Linked DNA regions of Xenopus tropicalis. The protein of the gene in region 2 binds, or shares a complex with, the protein of the main gene of each other region. Links are inferred from orthologs where the notes say so. Each region holds a gene or a part of one and is shown on either strand. Other genes may lie near its edges. The genes, in order: jarid2, ezh2, eed and aebp2.

The links.
Region 1: the proteins of ezh2 (region 2) and jarid2 are in contact, whole or in part, in a cryo-EM structure (PDB 8VNZ), measured with the Homo sapiens proteins. The link is inferred for Xenopus tropicalis from reciprocal best matches to the Homo sapiens genes EZH2 and JARID2. Residues at the interface, in NP_001190176.1 of Homo sapiens: Arg78, Ile131, Pro132, Tyr133, Asp136, Ile146, Lys156, Val157, Asp160, Arg161; in NP_004964.2 of Homo sapiens: Arg108, Pro109, Arg110, Leu111, Ala113, Gln114, Arg115, Lys116, Thr154.
Region 3: the proteins of ezh2 (region 2) and eed are in contact, whole or in part, in a cryo-EM structure (PDB 8VMI), measured with the Homo sapiens proteins. The link is inferred for Xenopus tropicalis from reciprocal best matches to the Homo sapiens genes EZH2 and EED. Residues at the interface, in NP_001190176.1 of Homo sapiens: Arg34, Glu37, Val38, Lys39, Met41, Phe42, Ser43, Asn45, Arg46, Ile49, Arg52, Thr53, Ile55, Leu56, Asn57, Glu59, Trp60, Lys61, Arg63, Arg64, Ile65, Gln66, Pro67, Val68, His69, Ile70, Leu71, Glu82, Cys83, Ser84; in NP_003788.2 of Homo sapiens: Val85, Asn86, Ser87, Leu88, Lys89, Glu90, Asp91, Trp103, His104, Ser105, Lys106, Glu107, Asp109, Pro110, Val112, Arg120, Thr122, Leu123, Tyr124, Glu125, Gln129, Gly130, Glu131, Ile132, Arg133, Leu134, Leu135, Gln136, Ser137, Tyr138.
Region 4: the proteins of ezh2 (region 2) and aebp2 are in contact, whole or in part, in a cryo-EM structure (PDB 8VMI), measured with the Homo sapiens proteins. The link is inferred for Xenopus tropicalis from reciprocal best matches to the Homo sapiens genes EZH2 and AEBP2. Residues at the interface, in NP_001190176.1 of Homo sapiens: Ser76, Leu77, Arg78, Gly79, Thr80, Thr100, Asn102, Ala103, Val104, Ala105, Ser619, Asp620, Val621, Ala622, Ile739, Glu742, Met743, Glu744, Ile745, Pro746; in NP_001107648.1 of Homo sapiens: Lys382, Leu383, Lys384, Asn385, Arg387, Arg388, Ser390, Leu391, Pro392, His395, Asp399, Ala400, Gln401, Asp404, Ala405, Arg407, His408, Ile411, Cys412, Leu415.

Annotation. Positions count from the first base shown.
Region 1 is NC_030682.2:92,469,067-92,473,727, reverse strand, and holds part of jarid2 (protein Jumonji), read right to left. Parts: intron 2,526-4,661; coding exon 1,508-2,525; intron 1-1,507.
Region 2 is NC_030682.2:55,158,898-55,163,558, forward strand, and holds part of ezh2 (histone-lysine N-methyltransferase EZH2), read left to right. Parts: intron 1-1,836; coding exon 1,837-2,077; intron 2,078-3,096; coding exon 3,097-3,266; intron 3,267-3,664; coding exon 3,665-3,759; intron 3,760-4,455; coding exon 4,456-4,496; intron 4,497-4,661. UniProt on the Homo sapiens protein: Polycomb group (PcG) protein. Catalytic subunit of the PRC2/EED-EZH2 complex, which methylates 'Lys-9' (H3K9me) and 'Lys-27' (H3K27me) of histone H3, leading to transcriptional repression of the affected target gene.
Region 3 is NC_030678.2:168,819,840-168,824,500, reverse strand, and holds part of eed (polycomb protein eed), read left to right. Parts: intron 1-3,296; coding exon 3,297-3,449; intron 3,450-4,661. UniProt on the Homo sapiens protein: Polycomb group (PcG) protein. Component of the PRC2/EED-EZH2 complex, which methylates 'Lys-9' and 'Lys-27' of histone H3, leading to transcriptional repression of the affected target gene.
Region 4 is NC_030679.2:754,788-760,223, forward strand, and holds the start of aebp2 (zinc finger protein AEBP2), read left to right. Parts: upstream 1-1,935; 5' UTR 1,936-2,066; coding exon 2,067-2,332; intron 2,333-3,562; coding exon 3,563-3,773; intron 3,774-5,436. UniProt on the Homo sapiens protein: Acts as an accessory subunit for the core Polycomb repressive complex 2 (PRC2), which mediates histone H3K27 (H3K27me3) trimethylation on chromatin leading to transcriptional repression of the affected target gene.

The DNA.
Region 1 (4,661 bases), about 37 Mb from region 2:
GCATACCGCCACAAAGAAACAGAGAGAGATCAGTTTGTCAAGTTATTAAAACATTTGTGTCTTCTTCCAGGAACTTCACAAATGTACTTAGGGTTGTCACAAGTGGGTGTTAAGCCAGGGAATAAATCCCTGGTTCTTACTTTTGAAAAACCATTTTGAAGATATTGGTTTCCACTCTTTATATCTTCAGAAGTGTTTTTATCATTCCCTAAATCAAGTTCCCTGCATGACCTCCTTTCCATGTTCTTTTTGATTATTTCTTCAGGGAAATGTTTAGTTGCATATTAGTAAATTAAATAATATTTCAATTCACTAAGTGAGCTATTACTTGTGACAACCCTGAAAGGTACTCAATACATACATAAAAGTACATATGCATGTTGGTGTCAGCAAGAGACATTTCACCGTCAATACCTAGAATGTGTTTTACTTTTAAAACAGCAGTATTAGATAATCATAATTCAACCTCAAATCTCTAAATTGTAAGGACTGGATTGCTTATGGTAAGGGTCTGATCTTGGAAATACAGTGAAGTTAACAGGGCAGTGAATTAGTGAATTAAAAGAAAAACTTTACTGCTGCTTAAATTATATTTCAACATAGTTGAAATAATTACTGAACAACACAATCACATAAAACACACCATGTTGGGCAAATCCAACATTTAGTGAGATAAGTTCCGAGAGCTTTAGTGATGCGTGTTTGTGTCTGCTGACACACAATTGTATTCTTTGTTCATCGTACAGTATTAAATGACGTAACCTTTGTGTTACATTGTACATTTGTGGATGAATTGTTATGTTGGCCATTTATCACAAACAACAAACTTAAGTTGAAAAAAACAGAAGGAAAGTGAGATCAGCACAACAAACTTCAGCTTGGAGGGACATTTTTGGAAGAGGTGAAAAAGAAAGAGTTGTTCTTTAATTTAAAAAAATGATGATGCAAAGAAACTATTGTCCAGTCATCACACTCTGTGCCCTGGGTATAGGGTGCCTACAAAAAAAAATACGACAAACACTTTTTCAGTCCCCCAAAAATACAGCTGATATCAGAGTTCAAGCTTCTGCAGCATTCTCAGATGGCTACGTATCAATAAAAGTTTAATAGCGCATGTCTCACATTCCCTCAAGCACTGAATATGGTTGAAAAATTTGTGTTTTTCTTCTCTCTCTTTTTAAAGTGTCAACCTTCTAACATGTTGGCATCATTCAGCTACATTGGTTTTTGCTATTTTGGTATATTTCTAACAATGCAAACAGTATCCAATTATTGCTGCCCAAACACTTAACAGTCATTATTTGCAATAAAATAATACATATGATGAAATGTCATTACAATTCATCTGAGGGTAAAACGGAGTGTTTTTTTACATTTCTAATAAACAAAATATAACAGTTTAAATGGACCCTTTAAGCAGCATCTGCCAAAAAATATCAAAAAATCAAATTAGAGCTCTTTAAGAAAAATAACAACACATGCATGTCCATCAGAGTGATTCCCTTACCTATGAGCGGGAGTTCATCCAAGGTGATGCCCTGAGATTTGAGGTGCTTCTTAATGCAGGCCAGGCGCTGTACATTTGGACCCCAACGTCGCCCAAGCTTGTGGATGTGTTGAATCTGTGTAACGAATCGCATCTCATCATTCAGCTTGCACTCTGGTCTCCAGTCGGCAGGTGGGATCACGGTGCACATCCCATACTTCTCCACTCGGGCTCGGATGGATTCAATATAAATCAAGGGGTCATGAAACTCCTTGGCAGAGGGTCGGAGGACAGGGATCTCACACATGGCTGTGCACCTGGCCCTCCCAGAATTTTTCTCTGTCTTTGCAGAGTCCAGAGATTTTTGTGGGGAATCAGTGTGCGAGGTAGAGCGATTTTCACAACCAGTATCTTCTGCCTTACCACGGGGTTGTGGAACTGGTGAGCTCCTGGCTGCTGAGGCCCGCTTCGGCCTATTTCTTTCCAGCATCTTCTCTGGCACTTCTTTTTTTAAGTGTCCATTCAGCACCTGTTTCTCCGCTGCTAGCCTTTTGCTTCTGACCTCTGGCAAGCAGGCGGATACTTTAATTTTCTTTAGCAAAGGCTGTGCCTTAGCAGGAAGGCTTGCCTCCTCCAGGCGCCTTTTTGAGTTACGTAGTCCCTCCCTTAGTTGCCTCCCTTCCTCCCTACTGCATGTTTTTTTGTTAAGTTTGCCATTCACCTTTACACAGTTAAGAACAGCGGCACAGTTGGGCTTAGATGTAGAAAGAGATAGCACCTGTTTACGAGTTTTTGCATTGCTGCTTTCTGTGGTCCCTGAGATTGTGTGGTGAACAGATGAACTGGGTTTGTTGTGATTCTGTTTGGTTGCCTTATCCAGTTCTTTCTTGGCTTTGGTGTATGTGACAGTCCCCTTAGTCACCGTTGCGGTATACTTCACAGTTTTAGAGGGTGTAGGTCTCACTTCTCTTGTCTTTTTGGCACCGACTGCGTTAGAACCCAATGATGATAATCGGGTTATTCCATTCACCTTGGAAACCTGGGTTTAATTGGTAATAAAAAAAAAAGTTGTCAGTGTGCAGCTCCCCTTAAAACAAATCTAGAATATGATTTAAAAGCAAATTCTAGCTATATTATTGTGGCTGTCGTGCAAATTACAAATAATTAGATTCAATTAATAACATCTTGCAGTATTATACTAATGATGCATATTCATTTAGCAAACAGGCTAGTCTGAATTCCCAGATGAAGCACAGAAGTGATAAGTCTGTACACTTACACAAAATAATTTACTGTGAAATATTCAAAAACAAATCTTTACCATAACAGACCCAAAGACATATGAATTGTTATACTTGCTATAACTTTGTAATCTGCTTTAGCAAAGAACAGCAAGAAGTGATAAGGTCAAGATAAATCTTGCCCCCTTTTGAAAGCAACACATGGCAGATTACATATTTAGATATAAATACATATAGACACACATATACTGTTTGTTTATATTATTTACGCAATGTATATAAATGTATACTGACAAAATTTTAATAATTGTGGTTATGCCATCCCTTTATCTATTATGGGCGGCAAATTCAAAACTGTAAAAATGTGCATTTGTTTAGGATAGGACTGCTGTTATGTGATACATTTTTTTTACTGCAAAACATGTTAACACACAGACCTATGGATACTATTGGATATTGGCAGCATTTATTCCAATATATATATATATATATACATATATACACATACACATACACACACACACACACACATACATACATAAATTGGTTTTAAGCAGTAAAATAAATTACATTTTTAAACTAAAGGAAGAATTGGACTCCTAATATCAAAACAGCCCAGATAGTTAAGATTGTTGCTTAAAAAATTATTTTATTGCTCACCAAAGATCTGACACTTATTATTAATGCAGAGTGGGCTGCAATATGTCAGGGAGGAGAGACTTCCTGTGTTGCACAGGTTGTGTTCTTTGACAGAAAGAGAAACCTTGCGGTCAAAGTTGAGTACACATCTCAACCTGTGCAACAGAGCAAGTCTTTCTGGACACAAAAAGTCCACTCTGGGCTGTTCTTTTTTCATTGTGAATAATACTTTGACAAGTTACTTAACCATAACCAATTTCTACAGGGGGATGTAATAAAAACAGACACCAAGTCTTGCATTTGTTGGCATACTTGGTGACAATACACCCCCTGTGCCCTTGCCCTAAAGGTGTTAGTAATCATTTAAGAGTAAAACTAGCACCATTTATTACAAATTATTGCCTATGGGATTGGCAGATTTTCAGTTATCCTATATGTCTCCTTTAAACCTTAATCCTGTACATGGCAAACTGCAGAACTGAAGCACATCCATACATAAAAGGAATTCTGTCATGATATATATATGGTTTATTTGCTATTTGCAACTAATTCAGTGTACCATTTTAAATGTTATTAAAATGCTATTCTTGAACCAACAAATTAATTTTTTTTAATATAGTATTTTGGTGTGTATTTTTTATATTAATAGTAGGCGCCATCTCAGTGCATTATGTCTGAGCTTTCAGAAGGAGCCAACCCATCACAGTGCAACAACTTTCAGATAAGCTATTACCTCTTTTATTGTCAATGTAACTGGAGATGTAATGCCCAGACTTGGGTGTTTTACTTTGAGTGCTTTTCTCATATCTACCACTAGGCGAGGCATGGGAGCATTTTTAGCAATGCAGGCGTCAGGGAGCGGTTATCTGATTACCATTCCATTGTTGTTCTGATTGGCTGCTGGGGGGGGGGGAGGGAGGGGGATGATATCACTTCAACTTGCAGCGCAGCAGTAAAGAGAGACCAAAGTTTATCAGAGAACAAGTCACATGGCTGAGGGTCCTGCGGAAACTAAGAATATGGCTAGCCCCATATGAAATTTCAAAATTAAACATAGAAAATCTGTTTGCTCTTTTGAAAAATGAATTTCAATGCAGAATTCTGCTGGAGGAGCACTATTAACTGATTTTGTAATAAACATGTTTTCCTGTGATGCAATCCCTTTAATATTCTTCAAATCTAGACCCAAACAATATTCCAGCCCACTTATAGAGAGGCATCTGTCTTGCTGATTCTCTCCAGCATCATCCCAGGAATTAGTAAAATTCAATAAAATATACATTTTAAATAAAAGC
Region 2 (4,661 bases):
CTCACTGTTGAGTTCAAGCACACTCAAAGGTTAAATCATTTAGAAAGAAATACAGTTAAATAGATTTATACTGAGTTTTTATAGCCTGCCCTAAAGCAATTACAGTTAAAGAAAAAAAAAAATGTATTCTCTTGTGAAAAAATAAACTTGCTTTGTCTTGTATTGCATGTACAGTGGCTTGCAAAAGTATTCGGCCCCCTTGAACTTTTCCACATTTTGTCACATTACAGCCACAAACATGAATCAATTTTATTGGAATTCCACGTGAAAGACCAATACAAAGTGGTGTACATGTGAGAAGTGGAACGAAAATCATACATGATTCCAAACATTTTTTACAAATAAATAACTGCAAAGTGGGGTGTGTGTAGTTATTCAGCCCCCTTTGGTCTGAGTGCAGTCAGTTGCCCATAGACATTGCCTGATGAGTGCTAATGACTAAATAGAGTGCACCTGTGTGTAATCTAATGTCAGTACAAATACAGCTGCTCTGTAACGGCCTCAGAGGTTGTCTAAGAGAATATTGGGAGCAACAACACCATGAAGTCCAAAGAACACACCAGACAGGTCAGGGATAAAGTTATTGAGAAATTTAAAGCAGGCTTAGGCTACAAAAAGATTTCCAAAGCCTTGAACATCCCACGGAGCACTGTTCAAGCGATCATTCAGAAATGGAAGGAGTATGGCACAACTGTAAACCTACCAAGACAAGGCCGTCCACCTAAACTCACAGGCCGAACAAGGAGAGCGCTGATCAGAAATGCAGCCAAGAGGCCCATGGTGACTCTGGACGAGCTGCAGAGATCTACAGCTCAGGTGGGGGAATCTGTCCATAGGACAACTATTAGTCGTGCACTGCACAAAGTTGGCCTTTATGGAAGAGTGGCAAGAAGAAAGCCATTGTTAACAGAAAACCATAAGAAGTCCCGTTTGCAGTTTGCCACAAGCCATGTGGGGGACACAGCAAACATGTGGAAGAAGGTGCTCTGGTCAGATGAGACCAAAATGGAACTTTTTGGCCAAAATGCAAAACACTATGTGTGGCGGAAAACTAACACTGCACATCACTCTGAACACACCATCCCCACTGTCAAATATGGTGGTGGCAGCATCATGCTCTGGGGGGGCTTCTCTTCAGCAGGGACAGGGAAGCTGGTCAGAGTTGATGGGAAGATGGATGGAGCCAAATACAGGGCAATCCTGGAAGAAAACCTCTTGGAGTCTGCAAAAGACTTGAGACTGGGGCGGAGGTTCACCTTCCAGCAGGACAACGACCCTAAACATAAAGCCAGGGCAACAATGGAATGGTTTAAAACAAAACATATCCATGTGTTAGAATGGCCCAGTCAAAGTCCAGATCTAAATCCAATCGAAAATCTGTGGCAAGTTCTGAAAACTGCTGTTCACAAACGCTGTCCATCTAATCTGACTGAGCTGGAGCTGTTTTGCAAAGAAGAATGGGTAAGGATTTCAGTCTCTAGATGTGCAAAGCTGGTAGAGACATACCCTAAAGACTGGCAGCTGTAATTGCAGCAAAAGGTGGTTCTACAAAGTATTGACTCAGAGGGCTGAATAATTACGCACACCCCACTTTGCAGTTATTTATTTGTAAAAAATGTTTGGAATCATGTATGATTTTCGTTCCACTTCTCACGTGTACATCACTCTGTATTGGTCTTTCACGTGGAATTCCAATAAAATTGATTCATGTTTGTGGCTGTTATGTGACAAAATGTGGAAAAGTTCAAGGGGGCCGAATACTTTTGCAAGCCACTGTATGTGTTTTTGGTTTTGGTTGTGATTGTGAAACCATATGCTGTCAAATTTGTATTGAAGGAAGGAGCACGGGAGTTTGCTGCAGCTTTGACAGCAGAACGAATAAAGACACCACCAAAGCGCCCTAGTGGTCGCCGAAGAGGTAGACTTCCCAACAACACCAGCAGACCAAGCACACCAACTGTAAATGTGTTAGAAGCCAAGGACACTGATAGTGACAGAGAAGCCGGCACTGAAACTGGAGGGGAAAGCAATGATAAGGAGGAAGAAGAGAAAAAAGATGAGACCTCAAGCTCCTCTGGTATGTATGTTCAACGGATATCCATTAGGTTTGTACTCTGGCTAAAAAATAGACAGATGTACAGCATTTTATAATAATACATGTAAATAATATGTAAGCAGATGGCAAACTCCCATGCACTGAGGCATCTGACATTGCCAGTGTTTTTTTTTTTTTAAAGATGGATGAACTGCAGTTTAAAGGACACCATTTTCATTTTCAAAGTTTGCACTACTGCATGTGTTGCTTTTTAGTAGTCTGGAGGTACAAATGAAATTCCAGCAAGCAAAAGTCTTGAAAGCACTGAGGCTAGTGTCACATGTTGTGTTAGAAAACTTGATCCACTGCCTTGCACAAGATCTTTAGAATGCACTGACAAGCACAGCATCTGCCTGCAATTGCATACAGAGGGATGAGTTCTGCACGAAAATGCGCCCATTCTCCATTTTCCCAAATCCACCATGTGTACTGTAGAAGTCCAGTGTGTTGCATTTTCACCAGCAGAAAAACCCGGTGGGTGGGAATAAATCAGGCATAAGCTATTAATCTCTCATTCTATCAATATCAATAGGACACTAAGACATTCTTTGCATTAAGCTACCAAGCTATGCCCTCCCCTTTAAGCCAAACAGGGATTGTTTGTCCATATATTGCAATATATTCAAGCTGGCCAACTACGTCAGTCATCCCCAGTCTGGCCAGTCCTACATTCACTTTCATCTGATTCATTAAGAATTTTAGTGCTTCAATATACATTTAACAAAGGGACAAAGTTTTACCTGCAACTTACTTGCTTTCAAGGTTAAAACCCCGAATGGTCCACATGGTTGGACATGAAAGAATGCTATCAAGAATCCATCTAAATATTTCAGATTTACATACTTCTATGTAAGAAACATATTTTTTGGGTCTGGTAAACAGTTGATATTCCAAAGCAGATGCTACATGCATGCTCAAAGGACGTATGTATAGCTGTGAGTGAGGAGTTCCATTCAGTGCCTCCCTTACCTGCTCTTGTTCTATTGTATACCTCTCAACAGAAGCAAACTCTCGGTGCCAGACACCAATAAAAATGAAGCCAAATATCGAGCCACCTGAAAATGTGGAATGGAGTGGTGCAGAGGCCTCCCTATTTAGAGTGCTAATTGGAACCTATTATGACAACTTCTGTGCAATTGCAAGGTTGATTGGTACCAAGACATGCCGGCAAGTAAGTTATTAGTAGCTCTTATTCATTCTACAATGATTTTTTAGTACAATATGTTACACTTTTGACTAAACTTTAGGATTATTATTATTATTATTAACATTTATTTATAAAGCGCCAACATATTCCGCAGCGCTGTAAGTGGGTTTCATACATTGGACATACAGAGTAACATATAAAGCAATCAATAACCAATACAAGAGGTGAAGAGAGCCCTGCCCAAAAGAGCTTACAATCTACAAGGATCAGTCTGTAATCGTCTTATAAGAAAACTGCATGCAGCTGTTGTGTTCCTTAAAATATCATATGCACCGATGGCTGATTTTCATGTGGTATTTGAAAGTCTGCTGTATTATCCAAAGCTAACAAGTTATTCATTACTCTATTAATATCTTCTGCAGGTCTATGAGTTTAGAGTAAAGGAATCCAGTATTATTGCTCCTGTTATTGCTGAGGATGTCGACACTCCTCCGAGAAAGAAAAAGAGGAAACACAGGTATGACTTACACTTCATCACATTTTCTTTGTCTGTTGTTGAGAAATGAACAACAGTTTCATAATATAGCTGTGTTAAACCACTCTAATGAAGATAGCCTAGACTATATACCAGATCTTGGGTTATTCCTGATAATAGCTCTTGTTATTTGCTCATTATGAATAATACCTTGCATGAATCATTGTGCTTCTCTGCCTAGAAGATGTATTTGAGCTAACTCTCAAAATAACTCTTCAAAATAACTAACTTCAATACAAATCCTGTCTCTCTAAATACAAGGATTTGTATTTGTGCCAGTGTCAGTTATTTTAAGAGTGAGTTCAAATAAAATCTTCATTGCATAGCAACACCCCCTTCTGCCCAGTCTTACTTTGTTTTGGCTGCTGCCATCCCTGGAGCTGCAGCTTGGTTGGGCAGTGCAAGAGGCCCCTACACACATGCGTTGCGGACCAGAAGGCCTCTGCCATACCTACTAGCAAATATAACTGCGCAGTCTGGTACAAGATTAGCAATATTCAAGCAGTTGCAGGGGTATGGAAGTCAAAATAAAATAAGTGACTGGGGTCAAGGGAGCCTGCTCTGCATAACCTAATGATCTTCATTACCAGTGAAATACATTGTTGTATAGAACTGATCATTTTTTTTATTTTCTACATGATTTCTTCTCTTATTTTGTATCTAATTGTATCCTAACAGACTTTGGGCAGCGCACTGCAGGAAAATACAGCTGAAAAAAGGTTTGACATTTATTTAGCTTTCATTTTCTGTTTTTCCCCAGTTACTCAAAGTTCAAAAACAACCCAGTCCTAATGGCAGTATGTGCTCCTGTACAGAGGTTCACACTGCTGCAGTAGTGGTAGTTCTAATGAAACAATAACATATAAAATATCCACATATGTGTT
Region 3 (4,661 bases), on a different chromosome or scaffold from region 2:
TACATAAGTGGCGGCAGGAGGGAATAAACAAGTGAGGAAGAGTTGGGAAAAGGCTTATGGGTATGGGGAACATACAGACTGAGTTGCTGTGGGAGCCAGAGGTAAAGGTGTAAGGCTGCAAGCAGAGGGAGAGGGGGAGCAGCGGGTACAGAGATGTTACACAAGTCACTGCAGTGGGGGGAAAGCCGGGGAGCCACTTGGCTCATAGTAATGTAATATTGTCATGTGGTATTGTTTAGTAACTAATGTGCCGTGCCTTGGAATAGTACAGCTAGTGTTTTAGGGGTTAATGAATTCTTGACATGAAGGGGTGAGAAAGCCTAAGCAGTTACCCTGTATTGCACTCCTGGGTAAAGGATCGCCAAGCTGCACTGTTATTTGTACTCCAGTACCATTTTAGTTTTTTTCCCCTTTATCATGTTTTGTAAAGACCACGGGAGCACTTACCGGACCATCAGTGTGTGCTCAACGTACAGCCGAGACCCAGACGGCGAAGTAAACTGCAAAACAAAACTTTATACGGAGCAACGCCAACACTGTTGTTTTCATAAAAATCTTTCTTTATCCAATCTTTTTTAAAAAAGCATGTTGTGCTTATACAGAAAAAGACCATACGCTTGACGCGTTTCGTGGTATCACATCACTTTCTCAAAAGCTGCAGACATTGTTTTGCCCTTTATCATGTTTGCCCTAAATCTAAATGCTGCAGAGTATGTTGGAAATGTATAAATGAATGATGACGATGATAACTAATAAATGGAGACAAAGGGTGAGGCTGTAGGTGCAGAGCCTGTGAGCTTTCTCTCTCTCAGTGGGACAGGATGTAGGGGCTGCCTGGGGGATGGGTGCTAGAATCATTAGTGTGTACTCTCGCTAATTACTGCCAGCTAATGAGTAGGCACAGCCAGGCATGTTATACACTGAGCAGGCACACTAATAGCTAATTATATAGAATTACTGATTACCTTGCTGCATATAGAGTTCATGATGTGCTTATGCTATACAGTTAGCAGTCTATGGTCTGGCCATAGGGCACCTAGATTTTTAAAGTGGAAGTTCCCCTGAATTTACATATGTTGTAGATAGAAATAGACTTAAACTTATTTTATAATGCTAGGGTTTCTTTATTCCAGCATGGACTTTAAAATGCTGTCTGTTAGGGTCAGTCAGGGAGTGGTAGAATAGAGTATCGTAAGTTTCAAATGAAACTTAATTTTAAGAGGCCTTCACTTTAATGAAAGCACTTTCTTGGGCAGTGGGATGGCTCAGTGGTTGTAGCATGGGGTTTATTCTGACTGGGGCTCAACGATTTTGTACTTGTTACAGGTATGGGATCCATTATCCAGAAAGCTCTGAATTATAGGAAGGCAATCATCCTGAGACTCCATTTTAATAAAATAATTCAATTTCTCTGTAATAATAAAACAGTACCTGTACTTGATCCCAACTAAGATATAATTACCCCTTATTGGGGCAGAACAGCCCTATTGGGTTTATTTAATGGTTAAATGATTCCCTTTTCTCTGTAATAATAAAACAGTACCTGTACTTGATCCCAACTAAGATATAATTACCCCTTATTGGGGGCAGAACAGCCCTATTGGGTTTATTTAATGGTTAAATGATTCCCTTTTCTCTGTAATAATAAAACAGTACCTGTACTTGATCCCAACTAAGATATAATTACCCCTTATTGGGGCAGAACAGCCCTATTGGGTTTATTTAATGGTTAAATGATTCCCTTTTCTCTGTAATAATAAAACAGTACCTGTACTTGATCCCAACTAAGATATTATTACCCCTTATTGGGGGCAGAACAGTCCTATTGGGTTTATTTAATGGTTAAATGATTCCCTTTTCTCTGTAATAATAAAACAGTACCTGTACTTGATCCCAACTAAGATATAATTACCCCTTATTGGGGGCAGAACAGCCCTATTGGGTTTATTTCATGGTTAAATGATTCCCTTTTCTCTGTAATAATAAAACAGTACCTGTACTTGATCCCAACTAAGATATAATTACCCCTTATTGGGGGCAGAACAGCCCTATTGGGTTTATTTAATGGTTAAATGATTCCCTTTTCTCTGTAATAATAAAACAGTACCTGTACTTGATCCCAACTAAGATATAATTACCCCTTATTGGGGCAGAACAGCCCTATTGGGTTTATTTAATGGTTAAATGATTCCCTTTTCTCTGTAATAATAAAACAGTACCTGTACTTGATCCCAACTAAGATATAATTACCCCTTATTGGGGGCAGAACAGCCCTATTGGGTTTATTTAATGGTTAAATGATTCCCTTTTCTCTGTAATAATAAAACAGTACCTGTACTTGATCCCAACTAAGATATAATTACCCCTTATTGGGGCAGAACAGCCCTATTGGGTTTATTTAATGGTTAAATGATTCCCTTTTCTCTGTAATAATAAAACAGTACCTGTACTTGATCCCAACTAAGATATTATTACCCCTTATTGGGGGCAGAACAGTCCTATTGGGTTTATTTAATGGTTAAATGATTCCCTTTTCTCTGTAATAATAAAACAGTACCTGTACTTGATCCCAACTAAGATATAATTACCCCTTATTGGGGGCAGAACAGCCCTATTGGGTTTATTTCATGGTTAAATGATTCCCTTTTCTCTGTAATAATAAAACAGTACCTGTACTTGATCCCAACTAAGATATAATTACCCCTTATTGGGGGCAGAACAGCCCTATTGGGTTTCCTCCCATGTAGCAGATATACACTCAGGTTTATAAACTTTTGATTAGTTCAACCCTAGTGCTGGAGGCATGTGATCCGAATTTCAAAGTTGCTGTAGAGGCCCTCTGAGACAATTTGCTACTGGTTTATTTGTATTTTTAAAACTAACCTTTTGCTCCACATCTCTTCAGTTCAAATTATCTGCATGCTAGAGTCATATATAATCATTACATTACTCCAGACTTAATGTTGCTAAAAATGATGTAAACATGAAATAAACCCAATAGGGCTGTTCTGCCCCCAATAAGGGGTAATTATATCTTAGTTGGGATCAAGTACAGGTACTGTTTTATTATTACAGAGAAAAGGGAATCATTTAAAGATTAAATAAACCCAATAGGGCTGTTTTGCCCCCAATAAGGGGTAATTATATCTTAGTTGGGATCAAGTACAGGTACTGTTTTATTATTACAGAGAAAATGCAAATCATTTTTAAAAAATGTAAATTATTTCATTCAAATGGAGTCTATGGAAATGGCAGTCCCATAATTCTGAGCTTTTTTTTTTCTTTGAAATATTTAGGACGATACTGTCAGCATAGAGAGCGGTACAAACACAGAGCGCCCAGACACCCCGACAAATGCAGCAAATGCCCCCGGCAGAAAGGGCTGGGGCAAAGGAAAATGGAAGTCAAAGAAATGCAAATACTCCTTCAAGTGTGTAAATAGCCTCAAGGTGAGTGCGAGATTGGTGCCACTGGGAAAGGATAATCGGCTGGATCAGTTTGGAGAGATTGGTAGCAGAGGTCTATCGTGGGTACCAAAAAACACCAAAAAAATGAGTGTTTTAAAGTAATTAAGATATAATGTACTGGTAAAACTGGTGTGTTTGCTACAGAAATGCTGCTATACTTATATAAATACCCCGCTGTGTAGCCCCGGGGGCAGCCATTCCTGCACTGGTACAGCTGGGGTGTTTGCTACAGAAACCCTACTATAGTTTATATAAATACCCCGCTGTGTAGCCCCGGGGGCAGCCGTTCCTGCACTGGTACAGCTGGGGTGTTTGCTACAGAAACCCTACTATAGTTTATATAAATACCCTGCTGTGTAGCCCCGGGGGCAGCCATTCCTGCACTGGTACAGCTGGGGTGTTTGCTACAGAAACCCTACTATAGTTTATATAAATACCCTGCTGTGTAGCCCCGGGGGCAGCCGTTCCTGCACTGGTACAGCTGGGGTGTTTGCTACAGAAACCCTACTATAGTTTATATAAATACCCTGCTGTGTAGCCCCGGGGGCAGCCATTCCTGCACTGGTACAGCTGGGGTGTTTGCTACAGAAACCCTACTATAGTTTATATAAATACCCTGCTGTGTAGCCCCGGGGGCAGCCATTCCTGCACTGGTACAGCTGGGGTGTTTGCTACAGAAACCCTACTATAGTTTATATAAATACCCTGCTGTGTAGCCCCGGGGGCAGCCGTTCCTGCACTGGTACAGCTGGGGTGTTTGCTACAGAAACCCTACTATAGTTTATATAAATACCCCGCTGTGTAGCCCCGGGGGCAGCCATTCCTGCACTGGTACAGCTGGGGTGTTTGCTACAGAAACCCTACTATAGTTTATATAAATACCCCGCTATGTAGCCCCGGGGGCAGCCATTCCTGCACTGGTACAGCTGGGGTGTTTGCTACAGAAACCCTACTATAGTTTATATAAATACCCCGCTGTGTAGCCCCGGGGGCAGCCATTCCTGCACTGGTACAGCTGGGGTGTTTGCTACAGAAACCCTACTATAGTTTATATAAATACCCCGCTGTGTAGCCCCGGGGGCAGCCATTCCTGCACTGGTACAGCTGGGGTGTTTGCTACAGAAACCCTACTATAGTTTATATAAATACCCCGCTGTGTAGCCCCGGGGGCAGCCATTCCTGCACTGGTACAGC
Region 4 (5,436 bases), on a different chromosome or scaffold from region 2:
GACAGTCACACGGGTACCGGGAAATACACTCCCCCGTGCAAAGGAAGCAGAGACAGTCACACGGGTACCAGGAAATACACTCCCCCGTGCAAAGGAAGCAGAGACAGTCACACGGGTACCGGGAAATACACTCCCCCGTGCACAGGAAGCAGAGACAGTCACACAGGTACCGGGAAATACACTCCCCCGTGCAAAGGAAGTAGAGACAGTCACACGGGTACCGGGAAATACACTCCCCCGTGCACAGGAAGCAGAGACAGTCACACGGGTACCGGGAAATACACTCCCCCGTGCAAAGGAAGCAGAGACAGTCACATGGGTACCGGGAAATACACTCCCCCGTGCAAAGGAAGCAGAGACAGTCACATGGGTACCGGGAAATACACTCCCCGTGCAAAGGAAGCAGAGACAGTAAACACGGGTACCGGGAAATACACTCCCCCCGTGCAAAGGAAGCAGAGACAGTCACACGGGTACCGGGAAATACACTCCCCCCGTGCAAAGGAAGCAGAGACAGTCACACGGGTACCGGGAAATACACTCCCCCCGTGCAAAGGAAGCAGAGACAGTCACACGGGTACCGGGAAATACACTCCCCCGTGCAAAGGAAGCAGAGACAGTCACATGGGTACCGGGAAATACACTCCCCCGTGCAAAGGAAGCAGAGACAGTCACATGGGTACCGGGAAATACACTCCCCCGTGCAAAGGAAGCAGAGACAGTCACATGGGTACCGGGAAATACACTCCCCCGTGCAAAGGAAGCAGAGACAGTCACACGGGTACCGGGAAATACACTCCCCCGTGCACAGGAAGCAGAGACAGTCACACGGGTACCAGGAAATACACTCCCCCCGTGCAAAGGAAGCAGAGACAGTCACATGGGTACCAGGAAATACACTCCCCCGTGCAAAGGAAGCAGAGACAGTCACATGGGTACCGGGAAATACACTCCCCCGTGCAAAGGAAGCAGAGACAGTCACACGGGTACCAGGAAATACACTCCCCCGTGCAAAGGAAGCAGAGACAGTCACATGGGTACCAGGAAATACACTCCCCCGTGCAAAGGAAGCAGAGACAGTCACACGGGTACCAGGAAATACACTCCCCCGTGCAAAGGAAGCAGAGACAGTCACACGGGTACCAGGAAATACACTCCCCCGTGCAAAGGAAGCAGAGACAGTCACATGGGTACCAGGAAATACACTCCCCCGTGCAAAGGAAGCAGAGACAGTCACACGGGTACCAGGAAATACACTCCCCCGTGCAAAGGAAGCAGAGACAGTCACATGGGTACCGGGAAATACACTCCCCCGTGCAAAGGAAGTAGAGACAGTCACATGGGTACCAGGAAATACACTCCCCCATGCAAAGGAAGCAGAGACAGTCACATGGGTACCGGGAAATACACTCCCCCGTGCAAAGGAAGCAGAGAGAGTCACATGGGTACCGGGAAATACACTCCCCCGTGCAAAGGAAGCAGAGACAGTCACATGGGTACCAGGAAATACACTCCCCCGTGCAAAGGAAGCAGAGACAGTCACACGGGTACCGGGAAATACACTCCCCCGTGCAAAGGAAGCAGAGAGAGTCACATGGGTACCGGGAAATACACTCCCCCGTCTCTACTTCCCTTGCACAGGGGAATCTATTCCCTAGAACTGGTGTGAATATCTCCACTTCCTGTCTGGTAGAGAAACGGCAGCCCAGGTTTGCTTTATGGCAGGTCAGAGCTTTGTTCTTAAACGGAAACAATCAGTTACCCTTTATGGAATAGGATGAATTACAGCACTGCTGGGAGAGGAGGCCAGAGCCTGATTGAGAAAGGAGAGCGGAGCAGTGTATGGAATGTAAGTCCCCACTAGGGGGCAGTATGGGAAGATATAACAGTAGGAGGAGCCTAAGAGCCTCTCGTCCAATAACTAGAAGCCTTTCCTCTCCCGGCCCAGTAAGAGTTCCGCTTCTCACTCCGCTTTGGCCCTCTACGGGCGCCGTAACGCATGCTGCCGCAGTCTCCGCCCCAAGCCCCGCCCCGCCGCTAAGGGAAGCTCCGAGCTTAGTGACAAGATGGCCGCCGCCTCCTCTTGCTCCGAGCCCTCCGCGCCCCCCGCCGGCTCCTCCAGCCCCCCTCCCGCCCAGCCTGCCGTGCCCCCGCCCGGGGAAGAGGAGGACGAGGCGGACGATGAGAGCAGCAGGAGCTCCGGGTCGGAGCGTCCCGACAGCCCAGCGGGACAGGAGAGTCAGGGCCCCGGGGGGGGAACCGGCAGCTCCGGAGCGGGGAGCCTGGCTGTGTCCGAGGGGGAACCGCTCAGCCGCATGGACTCGGAGGACAGGTCAGTGCCCCAGGGGCAATTGGATTGGGGCAGGTACTTGGGGGCAATTGTGGTGGCAGCAGGGAGAATGGGGGCGGGGTTAGTAGGGTAGGGGGCGGGGTTAGTAGGGTAGGCTGGGCTCTGGGGGCAGATACAGTTGGGTCATTGGACTGAGGGGGAATAGAAATGAGGGGCAGTTACATTATGGGAGGGGTAGTTAGAGGGCAGGATGGGGCAGTATTCATTACCTGGGTAGGAATAGATAACATGGAGCTGGGGCAGTTACATTATGGGAGGGGTAGTTAGAGGGCAGGATGGGGCAGTATTCATTACCTGGGTAGGAATAGATAACATGGAGCTGGGGCAGTTACACAGGGGGGGGTTAGTACTGAGGCACTATATGTTCTGCCCCTAGGGGGCTGCACTCACATTCCCTGGGGTTGGATAGGGCAGGGGAGGATGATGGGAAGTGTAGTCCTGTCACATGTCACGGTGGGGGCGGGGCAGTAAGTGGGGCAGGTTGTACTTGAGCAAATGAGAATCCGATCTATTGAGCCCTCTGTTTCCACCTCTGGGGCACTTACCAGATCTGCCCCCCCCAGTGTTAGCGATTGGTCGGTACCCCACTGGCCCTTTGGCCCTCACAGTGACCGGGGCCCCGCTGGTTCCTTCTGTCCCCTCAGTCTTATGGGGAAAGGTTCAGTCCTTGCCTTGTCCAGCCGCCCGGAACTACCCCACCCGGGGGGATATATCACTCTCTGTAGCAACAGCCCCTGTGAGTAAGTAGTGCACTCATGTATAGGGGCAACATTCATTAGCAATTGCCTCATTAGCCTGAGGGGCAATTGTACTCTATGTGCCCCTCTCACCTCTGTCTGCCCCGACTGTCAGGGTCCCCAATTCTCTGTACTTCCTGCTCCTGGGCTGCTCTCTTTCCCATGGTCAGGCAGGAACCTCCCCCTGGGTAAGTGAATCCAATCTCCCCCCAGTACTTACCCAGGTACAGAGCTCTGATTCTCTGTACTTCCTGCTCCTGGGCTGCTCTCTTTCCCATGGTCAGGCAGGAACCTCCCCCTGGGTAAGTGAATCCAATCTCCCCCCAGTACTTACCCAGGTACAGAGCTCTGATTCTCTGTACTTCCTGCTCCTGGGCTGCTCTCTTTCCCATGGTCAGGCAGGAACCTCCCCCTGGGTAAGTGAATCCTGTTGGGGGGCAGTATAGCCCAGTAACCCCTGCTTGTTGCCCCACAGTATCAGCAGTACCCTGATGGATGTGGACAGTGTGGTCTCCAGTGGGCGCTCGACTCCCGCCATGATGAACGGCCAAAGCATGATCAGCACGTCGGCCAATAAGAGCCTCTCTTACAGCTGCTGCTGGGACCAATGTCAGACCACCTTCTCCTGCAGCCCCGACCTGGCCGACCACATTCGCTCTTTCCACGTGGATGGGCAGCACGGGGGGGTGAGTGCTCATTGGTTCTCTGCAACGTGGGGCGGGGCATTCCCTCTCTGTATATTTGTATTTATACATATGGGTAGGGGGTGCCATAGTGTTTCCCTTAGACAGTACAGTATGGGGGTACAGCTTATTGTGTGCCCAGAGCATTCCTTCTCTGTATATTTGTATTTATACATATGGGTAGGGGGTGCCATAGTGTTTCCCTTAGACAGTACAGTATGGGGGTGGGGCTTATTGTGTGCCCAGAACATTCCCTCTCTGTATATTTGTATTTATACATATGGGTAGGGGGTGCCATAGTGTTTCCCTTAGACAGTACAGTATGGGGGTACAGCTTATTGTGTGCCCAGAACATTCCCTCTCTGTATATTTGTATTTATACATATGGGTAGGGGGTGCCATAGTGTTTCCCTTAGACAGTACAGTATGGGGGTGGGGCTTATTGTGTGCCCAGAACATTCCCTCTCTGTATATTTGTATTTATACATATGGGTAGGGGGTGCCATAGTGTTTCCCTTAGACAGTACAGTATGGGGGTACAGCTTATTGTGTGCCCAGAACATTCCCTCTCTGTATATTTGTATTTATACATATGGGTAGGTGGTGCCATAGTGTTTCCCTTAGACAGTACAGTATGGGGGTACAGCTTATTGTGTGCCCAGAACATTCCCTCTCTGTATATTTGTATTTATACATATGGGTAGGGGTGCCATAGTGTTTTCCCTTAGACAGTACAGTATGGGGGTACAGCTTATTGTGTGCCCAGAACATTCCTTCTCTGTATATTTGTATTTATACATATGGGTAGGGGGTGCCATAGTGTTTCCCTTAGACAGTACAGTATGGGGGTACAGCTTATTGTGTGCCCAGAACATTCCCTCTCTGTATATTTGTATTTATACATATGGGTAGGGGGTGCCATAGTGTTTCCCTTAGACAGTACAGTATGGGGGTACAGCTTATTGTGTGCCCAGAGCATTCCCTCTCTGTATATTTGTATTTATACATATGGGTAGGGGGTGCCATAGTGTTTCCCTTAGACAGTACAGTATGGGGGTACAGCTTATTGTGTGCCCAGAACATTCCTTCCCTGTATATTTGTATTTATACATATGGGTAGGGGGTGCCATAGTGTTTCCCTTAGACAGTACAGTATGGGGGTACAGCTTATTGTGTGCCCAGAACATTCCTTCTCTGTATATTTGTATTTATACATATGGGTAGGGGGTGCCATAGTGTTTCCCTTAGACAGTACAGTATGGGGGTACAGCTTATTGTGTGCCCAGAACATTCCTTCTCTGTATATTTGTATTTATACATATGGGAGGGAGGTGCCATAGTGTTTCCCTTAGACAGTACAGTATGGGGGTACAGCTTATTGTGTGCCCAGAACATTCCCTCTCTGTATATTTGTATTTATACATATGGGTAGGAGGTGCCATAGTGTTTCCCTTAGACAGTACAGTATGGGGGTACAGCTTATTGTGTGCCCAGAACATTCCCTCTCTGTATATTTGTATTTATACATATGGGTAGGGGGTGCCATAGTGTTTCCCTTAGACAGTACAGTATGGGGGTACAGCTTATTGTGTGCCCAGAACATTCCTTCTCTGTATATTTGTATTTATACATATGGGTAGGGGGTGCCATAGTGTTTCCCTTAGAC